Linked DNA regions of Ovis aries. The protein of the gene in region 3 interacts with the protein of the main gene of each other region in a pairwise test. Links are inferred from orthologs where the notes say so. Each region holds a gene or a part of one and is shown on either strand. Other genes may lie near its edges. The genes, in order: TRIM26, A-kinase anchor protein 17A and THAP1.

What was found.
Region 1: the proteins of THAP1 (region 3) and TRIM26 interact in binary tests that used the Homo sapiens proteins (3 or more experiments, as listed by UniProt). The two-hybrid records come from large-scale screens. The link is inferred for Ovis aries from reciprocal best matches to the Homo sapiens genes THAP1 and TRIM26.
Region 2: the proteins of THAP1 (region 3) and A-kinase anchor protein 17A interact in binary tests that used the Homo sapiens proteins (3 or more experiments, as listed by UniProt). The two-hybrid records come from large-scale screens. The link is inferred for Ovis aries from reciprocal best matches to the Homo sapiens genes THAP1 and AKAP17A.

The regions. Positions count from the first base shown.
Region 1 is NC_056073.1:27,805,794-27,811,582, reverse strand, and holds part of TRIM26 (tripartite motif-containing protein 26), read right to left. Parts: intron 4,735-5,789; 5' UTR 4,685-4,734; coding exon 4,247-4,684; intron 4,083-4,246; coding exon 3,987-4,082; intron 2,740-3,986; coding exon 2,509-2,739; intron 1-2,508.
Region 2 is NC_082741.1:868,147-874,387, reverse strand, and holds the start of A-kinase anchor protein 17A, read right to left. Parts: upstream 4,415-6,241; 5' UTR 3,552-4,414; coding exon 3,418-3,551; intron 2,790-3,417; coding exon 2,012-2,789; intron 1,437-2,011; coding exon 1,288-1,436; intron 1-1,287. UniProt on the Homo sapiens protein: Splice factor regulating alternative splice site selection for certain mRNA precursors. Mediates regulation of pre-mRNA splicing in a PKA-dependent manner.
Region 3 is NC_056079.1:36,884,430-36,889,745, forward strand, and holds part of THAP1 (THAP domain-containing protein 1), read right to left. Parts: intron 2,477-5,316; coding exon 2,281-2,476; intron 1,321-2,280; coding exon 946-1,320; 3' UTR 1-945. UniProt on the Homo sapiens protein: DNA-binding transcription regulator that regulates endothelial cell proliferation and G1/S cell-cycle progression.

The DNA.
Region 1 (5,789 bases), on a different chromosome or scaffold from region 3:
TGCTCAGTCGTGTCCGACTCTTTGCGACCCCATGAACTGTACAGCCCATGGAATTCTCCAGATCAGAATACTGAAGTGGGCAGTCTTTCCCTTCTCCAGGGGATCTTCCCAACTCAGAGATCGAACCCAGGCCTCCCGCATTACAGGAGGATTCTTTACCAGCTGAGCCACAAGGGATACGCGGCATAAAAAGGTAAATAAATAGGCAGGAGGTGGGCAAGATTAGGGAGCCAAGAGGGTGGATGGTGGGACACAGGAGTTACTACTGCAGTCTCACAGAGAGAGACTGGGCTCATCTAAGGGCAGGCTGTGAGCCGCCCAGAGAGGACGGGACCCAGAGCACCAGTGCAGGAACCCTACTCCCAAAGGCTGCACAAGGAGAGACCTGGGAGTCCTGAGATGACCTGCAGCCTCACACCCGGGGCTCCACAGGGAAGCAACCTGCCCATGGCTCCCGGAGGCCTCCCGCACCACCTCCAGCTCCTGGGGCTGTGGTGAAAGAGGCAGTCAGAGCAGCAAGCCTGGGGCAGGAATCACAGCAATGCTGGGTAGTAAGAATCCGAAGGTTCTTCATGGGTGTGGATGGTGCCCAACAGTGGAAGGCAGAGTCGCCAATTGCCACTCGACCCTACAAGGCCCACCCTGGACTGAACCAAGGAGCTGGTTCTTGGTACCCTCGAGGTGCTCCCCACTCCCCCAGCTCCCTTAAACCTCCTCCTGACAGCGCTGCTCAAGAGATCGTTCCTGTTCTATCACCTCTGTCAAAAGGCCTTGTATTTATCTCCTGTCCTGCTGCTTGTCCCTCACCTGTATTTCTCTACCACATTTTGCATCAGGACTCCCATCTTAGTAGGGCCTCATCCTTACTGTCCACTGACAGTCAATCTCTGGAGAAATACTAACACCAGGGCAGGAGTTAGCTGTCCAATTCCCTTCAGCAAAGGCAGACCCAAACAGACACCGACAAAACCCACCAGTGCCACACTCCCGCGCTGACCTCCAGCAGACACCCACTTTCTCTCCCTCTCTCCTCCCACCCAGCCCCAGGGGTGCCCTCTATCTGAGTGGTCTCAGAGGCTCTGAAGGCTGGGCCTCTGTCGGTCCACAAAGCTCTTCCAGATAGACTGGGGAGAAGCTCCCCTCTGGGCAGACGCAACCGGATCCCCGCCCCCCAGCACCCTAGCTGTGCCCCTCTGTTCTACAAGTGCCCACCCACACTGTGGCAGGGGCTGGCGGCTGCGGGGAGAGGAAGGATGTGCACCCCTGAAGGGGAGGGAGAGAGGGAGAGGGGAGACAGCAAGTGACCTAGTCAGAGAGACAAACCTGAGGGAACAGAATGACAGAGGAGGAAAGGAAGGAGCCAGACAGACATTCTGGACAAAGTGAGAGAAAAGAAGAGCAAGAGGCCGGAGGCCTGGGAGTCAGGACGCCCGGGCTGGAGCTCTGACTCACTTCCTGATCTGCCCCATGGCCTGGGACGAACTCTTCCACCCTCTGGTGCTCTGAGACTTCATCACTGAGGGCTGGAGCGGAAGAGTTCCCAAAGCTTGAGTCAGAATCCACAATGACAGAGAGGCAGGCAGAGGCCACCTGTGCGGCACACCTACCTGGGGGCCTCACCATCTCCCCCGAGGTCCCGCAACCGGCTTGCCCTGCCATGGGCCAGGGCCAACGTTTCCCTAGACGTCCTGGGTGGTCCCAGCCACCCCTCACCATGCAAGTGGAGGAGCTCATTATACAGGCCTTCTCCTGGCCTGTGGGGCGGGAGACTGAGGGATCACACATGTTCCACCCAAAGGCAGTTCAAAGCCCTGTTGAAGGCAGTGTGACTCCTTTGGGAGGCTCCCGGTGGAGGGGGTCGTGGTGTCATTTCAACTTAGCAACCATCCTTGATTCCAATCCATGACCCTCCCTTTTTCAGCATCAAAGCTGCCTCCTCCAGCAGGTGCCCTAGAGGCACCCTGCCTGCTTGCCACCCGATTCTCTGAGGCTGATGCCACAGGCTCAGAGAAAACTTCTGTCTTCTGACTCTCTTCCCCAGCTGCCCATCTCCTCCAGATCCTCTGGGTTCTTAAGAGAAGCCGCCCTTCAGCCATCCCTCAGCCACCCCCGACCCCACAGGCTTCTTCATCTCCAGAACCATAAAAAGCCTCCCCGGACCAGCATCTGCCAGTGACTTTGGAAGACAGGCTCGTGCCGGCAGTAATGAGAATGGAGGATAGTAATGAAAATACTAATAAGCTTCTCTTCCATTTCTACAGCACTTCTTAAGACTATAAACTCTTGCTCATAGATTTACTTTTTGAAGGGACACCGTGCCAACGGTCTCATTTTACGCTCATGCAATCGCTGCAGTGAGTGGTGGGGATAAGGAGCATCGTCTCCATGCTTCAGATGAGAACACGGAGGCCCGGGGAAGAAAAGACTCTCCAAGGTCCCCTGAGGGAGAGGCAGGGCCATGCCCGCCGTCCTGGTCTCCCGGCTCCCTGCCCCGGGGAGGTCTCTCACCTGCATGAGCTCCGCAGCCGGCTGCTGCACCTTGCCCTCCAGCTCGGAGATGACCTGCGCCAGCCGGGCAAGCTCCCCGACGCCCCTGGTCTTGAACTTCTCCCTGCCCTCTGTGAGCTCCTGCTCCAGCTTCGCCAGCTGGCCCAGCAGGTGCTGCTCCCGCTCCCTCAGGAACTGGTGACCCTGCTCAAACTCAGCCACGATGCACTGCCTCTGGTCCTGGAGCTTCTTCTGCAGGGAGGGAAGGGGGAGAAGGGGGTGGCACTGCCGCCCTCCCCTCCGGGATCCGGCGTGGGGTGCACACGCTGGCTCTTCGCCCTCGCTGACCCCATTCATGAGTTCTACAGTGTCCAGGCTGGAAGGGGCTTGGAGCCTTCCTGGGGCAACCTCCTTTCCTCAGGGAAGACAAGGTAAGTCAGCCAGGTCAGTCCCCTCACGGGACTGGAAGCATGAGTGCCTACCATCAGCTGTTCTAGGTAAACCAGTATGTTCCAGGGCCCTCTGAGGACACTATGAGCCAACAGTTTCCAACTGGTGTGTGCTGCCTCTTCCAGGACGTTTCCCTTGATTAATTTTATTCAAGCCTAACTAACCCTCTCTTCAGCATCCTCCCCAGCATGTGTAAAATACGTGCATACTATCCTTGCCACTATCTCCTCTTTCCTCAGTGAAACTCTGGAAGGTCTACGACCGGGACCATGTCCTTTCTTGTCTCCCAATCTTCCTGCTGAGTCCAGGCTGGGACCTGGTCAGCATCCTTGCACACAGGGCGCCTGAAGGCACTGCTCGGGTTGGGCCATGTCCTGCCTCCCCGTCCCTCTCCCGGGGCCCATGAGCTCACCGCATGGACTGGCCCCAACATCCCTCCACCCTCCAGTGCCCGCTTCCCCAACAGACTTTGCCCCAGAAAACTGGAATCTTTATCAGTTTTTTCCCTTCCTGATCGCCTCTCTAACCAAGCACTCTATGCGCTGTCTCTGTTTCCTAACTACAGGCAACCATGGACTCACTACACACAGCGTCCTCACAGCTGGTCAGGCCCGGCCAAGCCCACTCCTCTCAGTTCTCCTCTTGGAGCCAGTTCCCGCCTTCCAAACCCTCTGGCTCCCCTCACTCGCAGGAATCATGTCTCTCTCCCGCTCTTTGAAAGGAAGCATGAAGCCAGGCCTTCCTCAGTTCCTCACACCCTGACTCTGCTGAGCAAACAGGCCCTGCAGCTGAGGTGAATCACAGAAGAAGGACCTTAGCCGACATCCAGGCAACCCCTTCACTTGCGAGATGAGGAAGCAGGCCAAGCCTGCAGACCTCAGACTGGCAGGGCGTGGGCCAAAACCCAGGTCTCCCACTGCCAGTCCGGTCAGGGCTCCTCTCCCAGGGAGCCAGTGGCCGCCCAGCTGTGTCTCTACAAGCTCAAGAGCTCCTGCTCTGCACAGCCGATTGCCTGCCTCAGGGCTCTCTCCCTCGACAGCCTCACTTACCAGCGCAGCCAGGATATCAGCTTCGCCCTTGGCCTGAAAGCCCTGAATTTTGTCTCTGTCTCTCCTTAGGGTACTCAGGTGGTTCAGGATTTTTTCCTGCAGAAAGACAAGCAGTGGGGATGCTCTGGGCTGAGGCAGGAGGGTGGGCTCGGGCCGAGTCCCGGGCCAGCGAGAAGCCTTCCGAGGGGCCTGCGCGAGGCCTCGCCTGCGGGTGGGCGCCGAGCAGAGCTTCCCTCCCTGCGGGGGAGCGGAGGGCTTACCCTGTGGGGCTGGGCCGCCTTCTCCACCAGGACGGCCGAGTGCGGCCTGTGCTCGCGGGACTCCCGGCACATGACGCACAGCAGCTTGCCGTCGTCCTCGCAGAAGTAATGCAGCTTCTCCCGGTGCCGCTCGCACAGCCTCGCCTCCGCCTGCTCCTGGGCCGCCTCCCCCGGCTGCCGGCCCCCGTCCACCTTCAGCCGCTCAATGTTCTCCACCAGGCTGGCCAGCTGCCACACCGGCCGGATATTCTCCTTCTTAAAAGGCTTCTTGCACAGGGGGCAGGCAGGGCGGCCCCCTGAGATGGGGCGGATGTCAGCGGTACAGCTGCGGCAGAAGACGTGGCCACAGTCAATGGTCACTGGGTCCCGCAGGTAATCGAGGCAGATGGAGCAGGTCACCTCCTCTTCCAGACTCCGCAGCGGTGCCGACGCGGCCATGGTATCCCGAGCTCAGAGGGGCCCCTGTTCACCGGCTGGGACTTCTCCTCCTTGGGGACCAGACATGGAGTCAACAGCAGGCCCAGCAGAGGGGCGGGAGTGGCAGCCGCACATGGGGCTGCGTGCCCAAGCAACCGACCAGTCAATCGCAGCTCCTATGAGGCTCCCCCAGAATCAGAGGGAAAGGACCTTACTGATCCTCAAGTCCAATGCCCTCATTTTACAGATGAGGAAACTGAGGCCCAGAGTGTGTAGCTTGGAAGAAGGGAGAGTAGCGCAGGTACCAGCCCATGCCGTACTCTTGGGAACACACTCCTACCTCCAGACCCTGTCCTTCCATCTGCTGGAAAATTGCTCTAATGTAGCGATTATGAGAACAAGACCCCAGATAACTACCTGCTGAACTGTCATAATATACAAATCCACAACACCTACTATGTGCACAGTGCTCCCTGACTTTGCTGCACATAGCCTGCACAACTGTTCATGAGGGGCCTTGACAGAGTCAAGAGACTCCTCTGTTTGCCCTGCAGACTTCAGGTTGCAAAGACTAAGTGCACTGAGGTTCTTTACCGAGACTCAAGGAGCATCAGGAGGTTGAGTTCCGGTGTCCTCCTTTATAGATGTTTCCTTGGGCTGTGTGAGTTTTTGACTGGGTTCACTTGCCCCAGAGAGGTGGTCCCTACCTAGACTCAGTCTGCTGGCAGAGCACTGCCGGGCCACAATGGACTCGTTCTCAGCTGTGCCCCTCCACGCAGCTGGCCTGGCCGCTCTACTGCTAACACGGGTGACTGAAACCAACGTGGGAGGAACCTTCAGGTGGCTCTGACAGGGATGTGTGGATGACAGCGTGGCCCTCAGAGGGAACACATAAGTTGAGCACAGAGGACTTTAGTTCTGTTTACCTCCGCAGCCTTGGCACACCTCCTGTCTGAGGTTAGGAGCCTCAGCACACCTAAAGCAACAGCTGCCTCCTGCCCTTACACTGTGTGACAAGAAAAAACTCATTTAAGTACTCTGAGCCTCAGTTTATCCATCCATAAAATGGGGAGAGTCATACTTACCTTCAAGGGGTTCCTACATGGATTGAGTAAAAGAATTATGC
Region 2 (6,241 bases), on a different chromosome or scaffold from region 3:
CTGGAAAGGCCATGGGGTAACCCCTGTGACACCCAGCTCGGGGACTGCGCACAAGGTCGATCGCGGAAGAGAGAGGACGGGGCCTGCCTGGGACCAGGACCCGTGGTCCGCATGCCACCAGCGCTCCCTGGTTCAGCCTGTGGTGGGCACGTCGATCCCGCGGCCTCGTCCAGTGTGAGATCCAAACTGCTCCCCCCTTGTGGCCGCCACCTGAGGCCTGCCATGCACCCAGGACACCCCGCCCTCTCTGGGCACCTGTCCTCTCTGCAGCCACAGCCTCACTCCGGGGCTCCCGACCCCCTACCCGTGTCCACACCCCCGCCAGCTGCCTGCGCACAGGCCAGCACCATCTCCAGCACCTGCCACTCTGGCACTGGGTTCCGGAGCAGACAGGGGAAGCGCTGACCCCCGAGAAAGGCCCGAATCTGTGTTAGTGAGCATCGGAACCAAACGGGAACCACACAGGAGCCCCAAGGCCGGAGCGGCGCACAAGCCAGGTCAGCCCAGACCCACACACAGGCTGGTGAGGAGAGAATGCCGGAGCACACACGCCTGAGACTCAGCACTCTGCAAAACACACAAGAAACCCTGCCCGCCGCACACACGGACAAGTGCGGGACAAGCGCCCGAGCACACGGGTCACGGTGGAGCACCAGGAACTGCCGCTCCTTCCCAGAAGCCAGCTCGGCACACTGGCCAGCTTGCCTGCAGGGCTCACAGCATGCCACGCGCAGTCCCTTCAGTCGCGTCCCACTCTGCGGCACCACGGAAGCGGCCCGCCAGGCTCCCCGGTCCACGGGATTCTCCAGGCCAGCACACCACAGTGGGCGCCTTTCCCTTCTCCAGGCGATCTCCCCAACCCGGGACTGAACCCGCACTCTCTCTTACTGAACTGGCAGGCAGGCGGGCTCTCTTCCTCTAGCGCCAGAACGTCAAAGCAAGAAACAGAGGTCCTGAGCCAAGACGCCTGACTCAGTGTCACTTCACAGGGCTCCTGAACGGCTCTTGCTGGGAAAGGCCAACAATACCCTCACTTCCCTACTTCACTTAAAGGCAGCTTCAGCCTGAACGCAAAACACCTGTAAGCTGGACAAAACTTCCGTGCCCGCGTCAGCAGGGTGCTGCACGGTGCCCCGGGAGGCTCAGCGAGAAGGAAGGCTCAGCGAAACGCCGGGTGGGAAGCCGGCGGTGCCCTGGGGGTAGGCCGCAGCCCCGCAGTCCCGCTGCGTCTCCAAGGGGACCGACGCATGCACCCAGGCCCGCAGAGCCCGGCCCCGCAGCACGCACCTCTCCTCAGCTCTCTGGCGCTCCTCTGCCTCCTTCTCCCGCCGTTTCTGCTCCTCCCGCTGCTGCTCCAGCTCCTGAAGCTTCTGTCTCTCGAGCTGCCGCTTCTTGATGGAGGCATCGCTCAGGTGTTTGGTGGAATCGAAAGAGACCTTCGGAGGCAGGACAGGGCAGGGTTAGGAGGTGCACGCACCGTCCTGAGCACGCAGACAAGCCCGTGCTCACCGGACGGCCTGCCTCAGACTCACCGCAGAGAGCGGGGACCCCCAACGCCCTTGACCGGGGGGACCTCGGGACTGCGGGGCAGGGCTCGAAGTCAGCGCTCAGGGACCCCACCCCTTCCAGGACGGCCCCTTCTGCCGGAAACACCAGGGCCTCCGGAGGCCAGCCCTGCATGCAAGAGCTTGACTCCTTCCCCCTCCTGCGGTGGGCGCCCCCCGCCCTCCGCAGCCAGCTGCCTTCACCACCCAGCGCCCGGGCACAGCTCGCGCCCCGAGGGCCCCGGCTCCTCCGCCAGCCTGACGTGGGGAGCCAGCACGAGCCAGAGTCCGCGGCGATGATGGACAGCGCCCTCATTTCAAGGGCGGCTGCGAGCGTGTTCCACTTCTCCCCACGTTTCCTGAGACACAGAGTGCGCTCACCGCGTGGGGGGCCCAGGCAGCCCTCCCCATGTCGGAGGCCCTTCGGGGCGCAGCCCGCCGCCCCGCCTCCCCCCCACCCCCCGCACCTTGATGTTGCAGGCCACAGCCTTGCCGTCCTCGCCCTTGAACATGAGCTTCATGCCGCGCAGCGCGCTCATGGCCTGGATGAAGCCGGCGTACTCGCGGTACTGCACGTAGGCCTCGAAGTTGAGGTGGCCGCCGAAGCTGAAGGTGTGGAAGTTGCGGCCCGTCATCTCCTCGCGGTAGGGGTCCAGCATGGGGATGTCCACGTTGCGGATCTCGCCGAAGCGCTCGAACACGCGCACCAGCACCTCCTCGCTCGGCTTCTCCGAGCCCGACTCCTTCAGCGAGAACCACTTGCAGGGCAGCCCCTCCAGGTGGATGGTGTCCGGCCGCTCGCCCGGCAGCGTCTCGTTCATGTCCTTGGCGTCGCGGAAGAAGGAGTCCCAGTCGTGGCGCGTGGGGAAGTCGACCTTGAACTCCGCGGCGCGCACCTTGAGGATGTCGGAGAAGCCGCTCAGCTTGATGGTCTTGCCGTCCAGGCAGGCCAGGAAGGACTTGACGAGGCTCTTGTTCTCCACCTCGCCCTCGAAGCGGATGAAGTCCATGGTGCTCTTGGAGATGCGCAGCGTGGAGAACTGGTGGTGCTGCACCATGCCCTTGAGCCGCTCCATCACCTCCCAGTTGGAGATGGACTTGCCCGGCTGCTTCAGCTGCGGCAGCGCCACGCTGATGGTCATCTTCGTGATGGGCTTCAGGTACAGGCCGTGCAGCGGGCACAGCTCCACCGCCTCAGACGTGTCGTGCACGATGGTGGCCGCAGCCATAGCCGGGACCTTGGGCCTGAAACACAAGACGCGCACGCCGCGCGTTCACGGCCGGCCCGCTGCCCCGCCCCCAGGCTGGCCAGCACGCGGCCCGGGGCACGGAGGCCCGTCTGCCCTCCGCGTGCCCGACACACTAGTCGCTACGTCAGGGAAGGCCCCTCGGCCCCTCAGGGTTAGTCGCTCAGTCGTGTCAGACTCTCTGTGACCCCGCGGACGGTAGCCGACCAGGCTCCCCTGCTCCTGAAATTCTCCAGGCAAGAATACTGGAGTGGGTTGCCCTTCCCTTCTCCAGGAGGGGGGGTCTTTCCCACCCAGGGATCAAACCTGGGTGTCCTGCATTGCAGGCAGATGCTTTACTGTCTGAACCACCAGGGAAACCCCAGCCCCTGACATGTGGGCCCTTTTAATCAGATTACACAAATGCAGGGGAAAAAAATTTGGGTTTTCAAAACTTTTAGGAACACTTGCTTGCCCCAAGCCTCCATGGGCACTGAGCTGCCCCCAATACTCAGAGGCATCTCCACCAGGGCTGGGCTGGCAGGAGCCCAGATGGGCAGGGTCCCTGCCCTCGGGATGTGGGGGACAGGCCACCTCCATGGAGGCTGCAGACGTCTCACTGGGGAAGGGACGACCCACACAAGCACCTGGGAAGGTCTGTGCCGGAGGAAGCCCGCGGAAACAGGAAGGAACTTTCAGGCTGAGAGAATGGTTGAAGACCGTTGACTTCAGTATCTCTACCGCAGGCAGAAGCATTTTCTCTGTGTCCAGATAAAACCATCAAAGCCGCGGGGCCTCTGGGAAGCCGCGGACGGGGAGCTGACTGTGCTCTCCTCCCCCTCAACCAGCTTCTCCCTACCGGTCAGACAGGTGCCTACTTCCGCAAAGCAGGGCCAGACCTGACCCACGGACAGCAAACAGTAATGGAGGGGGCCTTGGGCTGTGTGCCCGCGCACCAGATGGCTCTGAGAGCTTCTGACCAGGCCTGGGTTCAATCCCTGGGGCGGGAAGATCCCCTGGAGGAGGGCATGGCAACCCACTCCAGTATTCTTGCCTGGAGAAAGCCACGGACAGAGGAGCCTGGTGGGCTATAGTCCACAGGGTCACAGAGAGCCACGACTGAACAGCTCAGCACACACACACACCCAGACCCAGGAGAAGCTGCAGGGACGGGGGTGGAGGGGTCCCAGCTGGAGGGAAGAGCCACCTGGCCCAGGTCTGGGGCACCAGGGAGGGGGCTCAGCCTGGGCTGAGAGTGGCGACAGCCCCCCTCCACCCGCAGAAAACCTCCAGACCTCAGAGAGAACTTGAGTCAGAGACTCCGGAAGCCCACTGCCTACTAGGAACCCTGGGGATTCCCATATTCCCTGGTCGCCCAGCTGCCCCTGCACCCTGGGGATGACCCCCAGCCCCTTCGCTGCACCCCTGTCAACACACCCCTGGCAGCCCCTCACGATCCCCATCGCCTCCACCCCTCCAAATGCTCACCCCACTGGCCCAACTCCCGCCTTCTCTCTCCCCAGCCGCCTCTGTGGCCCCCGGTTACCCCCTCCAACCTCCAGTAACCCCTAACTTCACTCCCCGTCCCAGTACAGCCTGCTTACCTCTTACCCTGGTGGACCCCGATTCGCCTGCAGGGACCCTGTCCACCCCCCGCCCCAACCCCGCAGCTCCCTGGAGACCTCCCCTCCTCTGCTCAATCGCCGTTGTCCCCTCTCCCAAATCCTCTCCCAGAAGACGCCCCCCACTCTCCGCACCCCGGGGAGACCCCCGCAGCCCCCAGCTGTCCGTCACCCCAAGCCCCTCAAAGGCTTTCGACCCCCAAAGCCCACACCCCCAAGTCCCCCAGACCCCTGCTCCCAAGTCTGCAGGTCCAGGACACCCGTGCCCCGGCCGTCCCGGGAGACCCCCGCATCCCCCAGCCCCCGGTCATCCCCAAGCCCCTCAAAGGCTCTCGACCCCCGAAGCCCCTGCCCCCAAGTCAGCAGTCCCACGAGACCCCGTGCCCCGGTCGCCCCGAGAGACCGCTGCAGACCCCAGCCCGCGGCACTCCGTCACCCTCAGGCCCTCAAAGGCTTTCGACCCCCAAAGCCGCGCCCCCAAGTCCCCAGGCCCCCCGCTCCCAAGTCCGCAGGCCCAAGAGACCCCCGCAGCCCCCGGCCGCCGGTTCTCCGTCACCCCCAGACCCCCCGCCCCCAGGCCCCTCGAAGGCTCTCGACCCCCGAAGCCCGCAGGCCCAGGAGAGCCGCGCCCCGGCCGCCCGCCCCGCGAGGCCGCCCTCCCCGGCCCCCCGACGCCCCGGGGTCCCCGGCGCCCGGCGGGCGGGGCCCCGTCCACGTACCAGGCCGCCGCCGCCCTGGCCCCAGCGCTCCCGCGGGCCCCCGACGACGCCGGCAGGCCCGGCCTCCCCGCCCGGCGCCGCCACCGTCCGCCGGAGGCGCCCCCGACGCGACCCGCTGCCGCCGCCTCGGCCGCCGCCGCCGCCCGCCCCTGTGACGCATTTCCGCTTCCGCCGCTCGGGCCCGCGGAAGCAGGCCGCGCGGCGGGCCCGGGTTTCTCCTCCTGGCCATGGCCCCGCCCCCCAAGAGGCGGGACTTCCGGGGCGGCGGTGGGTGGGGCCGGCCGGCCCGGGCTTCGCGGTGCGCGTGCGCGAGCCCGCCGCGCCCTTCCCCCACCCCGCCCCGCCCCGCCCCGCCCCCAACCCTGCCACCTGTTTTCAGGTCCAGGCAGAGGCCTCACCTTGGGGCCCCAGGGTGAAGACACCGGACTCGGGACTCAGGCCGGCTGTGTGGGGCACACTGCTGTTACAGTCATGCGTCGCACATGAGATATCGTTATGAACTATGACAAGTGTATATTTATTAATTACTGATTTTATTCCGTATGAGTATGGATTGCTTGTATGACATTGTTATATCATGCTATAATGTAGCATACATATAATGCAACGGGCTTCCCTGGTGGATCCATTGATAAGGAGTCCGGCTGCAATGCGAGACACCTGGGTTCAATCCCTGGGTTGGGAAGATCCCCTGGAGAAGGGCATGAATACCCACTCCAGTATTCTGGCCTGGAGAATCCCGTGGGCTATAGGCATCGCAAAGAGTCAGACACAACGGAGCGACTTTCACCTCCCGTAATGTAACTACACTCACTTAAGTAATATAGTGTTAGTATAAACATCTAGTATTTTACTATTGAAACTTTTTACATTTTAACATTGATGTTCCATGCTTACTTTTAAGGATGTCGGAAAGTAACAGAAATTGCATAATTATTATTTTATATTTTTGATATGCATCTGTGCATTTTATTATTTTAAATTGCTTAATATATAAAATGTAAATATAAATATATAATGTGCTTTCTGTGTTATATATCTGTGTTCTCAGTTGCTGAGTTGTGTCTGACTCTTTGCGAGCCCATAGACTGTAGCCTGCCAAGCTCTTCTGTCCGTGGGATTCTTCAGGC
Region 3 (5,316 bases):
TCACTCATTTAGGTAAACAGGATGTGACTTCTTGCCTGTGGTAAAAGTGAAGAAATTGTCTTTTGTGTGATGTCTTGACAATCAATTCGTCAAGGGCAAGATTCCCACCTGATGCAATGAGTCACACTCTGCCCACACGACCCAGCTGGCAGAGACCTGGGTGGGTGCACACACCTCCAGTGGGGACCGGACGCCCGAGCTCAGAGCAGTGAGAGAAAAGGTGAGCCCGGGGTCAGCCCCAGTGGCCGCTGCTCAGCTCACTGGTAACGATGTACAGTGTGCTTACTGGAGAGTGTGTCTTCCCCTGGAGACACACTTCTAACTCTATAATGCTGGATGGGGGTGAGAAAGGAAGGGCCCCACTCTTCAAAAAAATTCCTTCTTTAACATAATTTAACCATTATGATTAGGTATGGAATGACACAACTTGCCAAGTTAACTCTGATAAGGGATTAAGGTAAATTAATCTGTCAACTTTACAAATAAGAATGTGTAAATATATATATTCTGAGACATCATGTCCTATGCTTCTGATTTAAAACGTGATGAAGTTCTTTCAATAAACTGCACTAAATTTTTTTAACTTGAAACTTAAATCATCCTTACTGCACTGTTCTCATTCTCCTTACTTTTTATTTTCATATCGTGTCTATAAATACTTGAATTGAAAAACAAAAATCCCCAATCTTGAAACCAACTGACACTGAAGCTCTGAGGTTAGTTTATCACTTTTAAAATATTTTGCTAAAATGTAAAAACCCTGAAATTACAAACAAAAAATTTACAGTTTTACAGTATATATCTAATTTATTCTTTTAAAAAAATATTCTGAATTGCTTTTGTACAAGTTATCAAGTGTAATCTCTTTTCAAATGAAGCTCCTCTCTAGGGTAGAAGAGGGTAGGTGGTATTGCCCCATGAAAAACCAATACAAATCTCACGTTTTCACGCGGGGACTTCGACTATCTCGAAGTAGTCATTGGGGAGAATGACGTAGCCCCTCTCGGAGGCGCCGTCCTTCTCCTTCTGGAAGTGCACCACCTCCTTCAGCTTCTCCAGCTGCCTCTCCTGTCTGCGGCACCGCTGCTGTGCAGTCTTGAGCTTCTTCCGGAGCTTCTCCACTTGCTGCTCCAGCTGGTGGATCCTCTTCCGCTGGTGCATGGTGTCCTCCACGGTGTAGTTGTGGTCACAGAAGACGGAGAGGTTATCGGGGGTCTGAAGAGGAGGCATGAGCAACCCGATCGCAGCATCAACCTGGGAAATGGGGGGCGTTAAAGGAGGCGGCGGGGGCTGTTCCTGTGGCTCCAGGAGATCTTCCTTCTGGAACAAAGACGCAGAGCGTGTTTGAGCTTCATTATTAAAAGTAACAGATTAAAAGAACACACTAAATTCTGCACCTGTGCAATATAAGAATGTTAGACTTAGTTCTGCCTCCTTGGCATAGAAACAGTCTAAAATGAAAAGAAGTTTTAATTTTCCTTTTTTACCTGAAGTAGAAATGGGATGCAAAAAAGACAAAATGATTAATCGGATCTAATTAAACACTAGCACTGAAAACTGAGGGGGAAAATACTCTGAAAGTTAACTATCATCATAAAGGAAAATCAAAACTTATCAACATATAAGCAGGAACACCAGGATTCCCTGGTGGCTCAGACAGTAAAGCATCTGCCTGCAATGCGGGAGACCTGGGTTCGATTCCTGGGTAGGGAAGATCCCCTGGAGAAGGAAATGGCAATCCACTCCAGCACTCTTGCCTGGAAAATCCCATGGACGGAGAAGCCTGATAGGCTACAGTCCATGGGGTCGCGAAGAGTCGGACACTGAGCCACTTCACTTTCACTTTCAAGCAGGAACATGGGGCTTTCCAGGTGGTGCTAGTGGTAAAGAACCTGCTTGCTTACGCAGGAGATCTAAGAGACGTGGGTTCAATCCTTGGGTCAGGAAGATCCCCTGGAGAAGGAAATGGCAACCCACTCCTGGGTTGCAGAATCCCATGGATAGAGGATCCTGGTGGGCTACATAAACACACAAGCAGGAATACAGACTGATCTTAAAGTAAGTTAAAAGCTAGGCTGAAGTGTCTTAGTGTGAGAATATTTAACTTTACTAAACACTCTGTATTTTTTGAAGTATTTTGCTGTGAACAGGGGTCATTTACAAGGGATGGGTTCCAGGTAACATTTATATTCTTAACACTACTGTGGCTTTTCCAGATTTTCCATTGAACACATTAACTTTATGGAAAGAGACCCGCCCAGTACTTTACACGCCCCTCACCTTGTCGTGCGGCTCGGTACACAGAAATATCGTGGGGACAGCATCCTCTTTCAGCAGCTTGTTGTTGCACTCCCGCTTAAAGCAGTCCGGGGTAAAGTGGTCCGAGCAGATGCTGCTGTACTTGGTGGGCTTAAAGTTTTTCCTTCTGACAGCTGCCTCCCATTTCTTACAAAGACTGGGTCGAGTAAGAGGAAACCTAAGAAGATGAAATGATTCCGTTTTCTAGCCTTACTCAGAAACAAAAAGGCACACCCAGGCGTTCCTGCTTAGAGAAGAATTAGCTTACAACCACCGGTGTTCACACGCCACAGGCGTTTGCTTAACACACCTGCTCCCACTAATCCTTTTTCGACAGTTTTTCAGGTGTACCCTTATCACCCTAGATGTTACGGATGTACTTGTGTGGACATAGAGAACAAGCCTGTGGTTGCCAAGGAGGAGGGGAGTGGGGAAGAGCGGGACTGAGAGTTTGGAGTTACATACGAGAAGGGATAAACAACAAGGTCCTACCGTGTAGCACAGTGAACCGTAGTCAAAATCCTGAGATAAACCCAAATGGAAAAGAACATGGGAAAAAAATGCAGAGCTGTGTATAACTGAATCACTTTGGTGTACAGCAGAAACCAACGAAACACTGTAAATCAACTATACCTAAAGTAAACTTTTTAAAAAATGGACTTGTTTTAAAATCCTGTAACTAAAGTGAGCATCACTAGTGTGAAAAATAAGTCACCCCTCCTAGCATGGTATTTTTTTTTTTAAACCAGGATTTCTTATAAGAATCTTATTGATCACAAAGCAGTTGTAAGAATGTCAGATATAATGATGTATACAATCTAAATACGTCAGGCTCATTAGGATTTACATTATGCAAAAACATACTTATTAAAAGGCAGCCACGTGGACAGATGCACGCAGCTGGCAGAGCAGGTGATAGGAGGGTAGGTTCAAGGGCCCATGTGATGTTTTCCCCTCTTTTGCAGTAAATAACCTTCGCAAACAGACACATCTAAGATACAAGGGTAAACCATATAGCTCCACCATCCACCTATCTCAGTCTTTAATGCTTAACTTTTTATACTGAAGACACTAAAATCTGGGGTAAAATACACATGGTATAGACTGAATTTGTATTATTATTATTATTTTTTTTACCAGTGATCCTCTGTGTACTGTAAAACAAAACTGCACGTTTATAACTATGTACCGAGACAAAGAAGCTTTTTGTTTTCTTGAGAATCATCTTGACAAATATGAATCAAACTGTAGCCAAATCATAATGATAAGGAAAAAAAGTATTCATTTTAATTTACCTAATTGACTGAAATACATCCATTAGGCCCAGATAAAGAGAGATACGAAGCTTTTAAACTTATTTTATTTTTCCAGGTAAAAGATTCAGTGAGTTGGGGGGGATTGAAAAAAAGCCAAAAAAGGGTGTTTCGACTCTGTGTCCCAGTTTCTCTACGAAGTGAGATACGCTCGAGCCTGACTCTGCTATGGTCGTGGAGCCCTAATCTACCCTTCTCTTTGCCCAGAACATCTGTTCCCACTACCATGTAGAAGCTGAGAAAGACTCCTAGAATGTTCCTGCTGGAAGTGCCTCTAGAAGTAGACACAGCAGCAACTGCTGGGAAACTCAACACCCAGGGCCTCCTGACCAAGGATTACAATGCAGCTTATTTCTGAGGTCAAGAGCCTTCCCAAAATTGTTCTTTTAGATAAGGGATAAGATGCAGATTAGCTCTTCTTTTGGTCAAATCAATTATTTAACCGCAGGAGAAACTCCGTATTTCTGAAACGTGTGAACGTCATCCTTAACCAGTGCCAGTGAAGGGTTTTCCTTATGTCTGTATTCCCTCAGCCACATCGTTAGAAATGGGGCTGGGGGGGGGGGGAGCTGAAAGTCTGTGATCACGTCACCATCTCCAGATCTGTTCCTTCACATTGGAACTGCTGGAGTTCCCCCATTAGCTTTCAGAAATTCTAATCAATCAAGAGGCAACATTAGAAGTGTTAAGTGTTCTGTTTCTTAGAAGGGGGAAAAAAAATCAACATTCTCAAGATCTCTCTATACCCTACACACTCTGATTTTTGTTCTCATACCAAATGTATAAAAATGCACCCACATTCACTGTTAAACATGGAAGGTCCTTATTCCCCCCAAATTTAAGATTTTGCTTTAGTAATTATTTACCTATAAATGTGTGGATGTGTGGATCACAACAAACTGTGGAAAATTTTCAAAGAGATGGGAATACCAGACCACCAGACTTTCCTGCCGCCAGAGAAACCTGTATGCAGGTCAAGAAGCAACAGTTAGAGCTGGACATGGAACAACTGACTGGTTCAAAACTGGAAAAGGAGTTATACTGTCACCCTGCTTATTTGACTTATATACAGAATACATCATGTGAAATGTCAGGCTGGATGAATCACAAGCTGCGATCAAGACTGCCAGGAGAAATATCAACCTCAGATAATGCAGATAATACCACCCTAATGGCAGAATGTGAAGAGAAACTAAAAAGCCTCTTGAGGAAGGTGAAAGAGGAGAGTGAAAAAGCTAATTTAAAACAGCATTCAAAAACTAAGATCATGGCATCTGGTCCCATCACTTCATGGCAAATAGAAGACGCAAAAAAAAAAAAAAGGAAATCGTGGCAGATTTTATTTTCTTGGGCTCCAAAATCACTGTGGATGGTGACTGCAGCCATGAAATTAAAAGGTGTGAAAAAATAGATGCTTGCTCCCTGGAAAAAAAGCCATGACAAAACCTAGACAATATATAAAAAGGCAGAGACATCCCTTTGCCGACAAAGGTCCGTCTAGTCAAACCTATGGTTTTTGTAGCAGTCTTGTGGATGTGAGAGTTGGACCATAAAGAAGGATGAGCGCTGAAGAATTGATGCCTTTGAACTGTGGTGTTGGAGAAGACTCTTGAGAGTCCCTTGGACTAGGATATCAAACCAATCAATAGTAAAGGAAATCAACCCTCAATATTCACTGGAAGGTACTGAAGCTGAAGCTCCAATA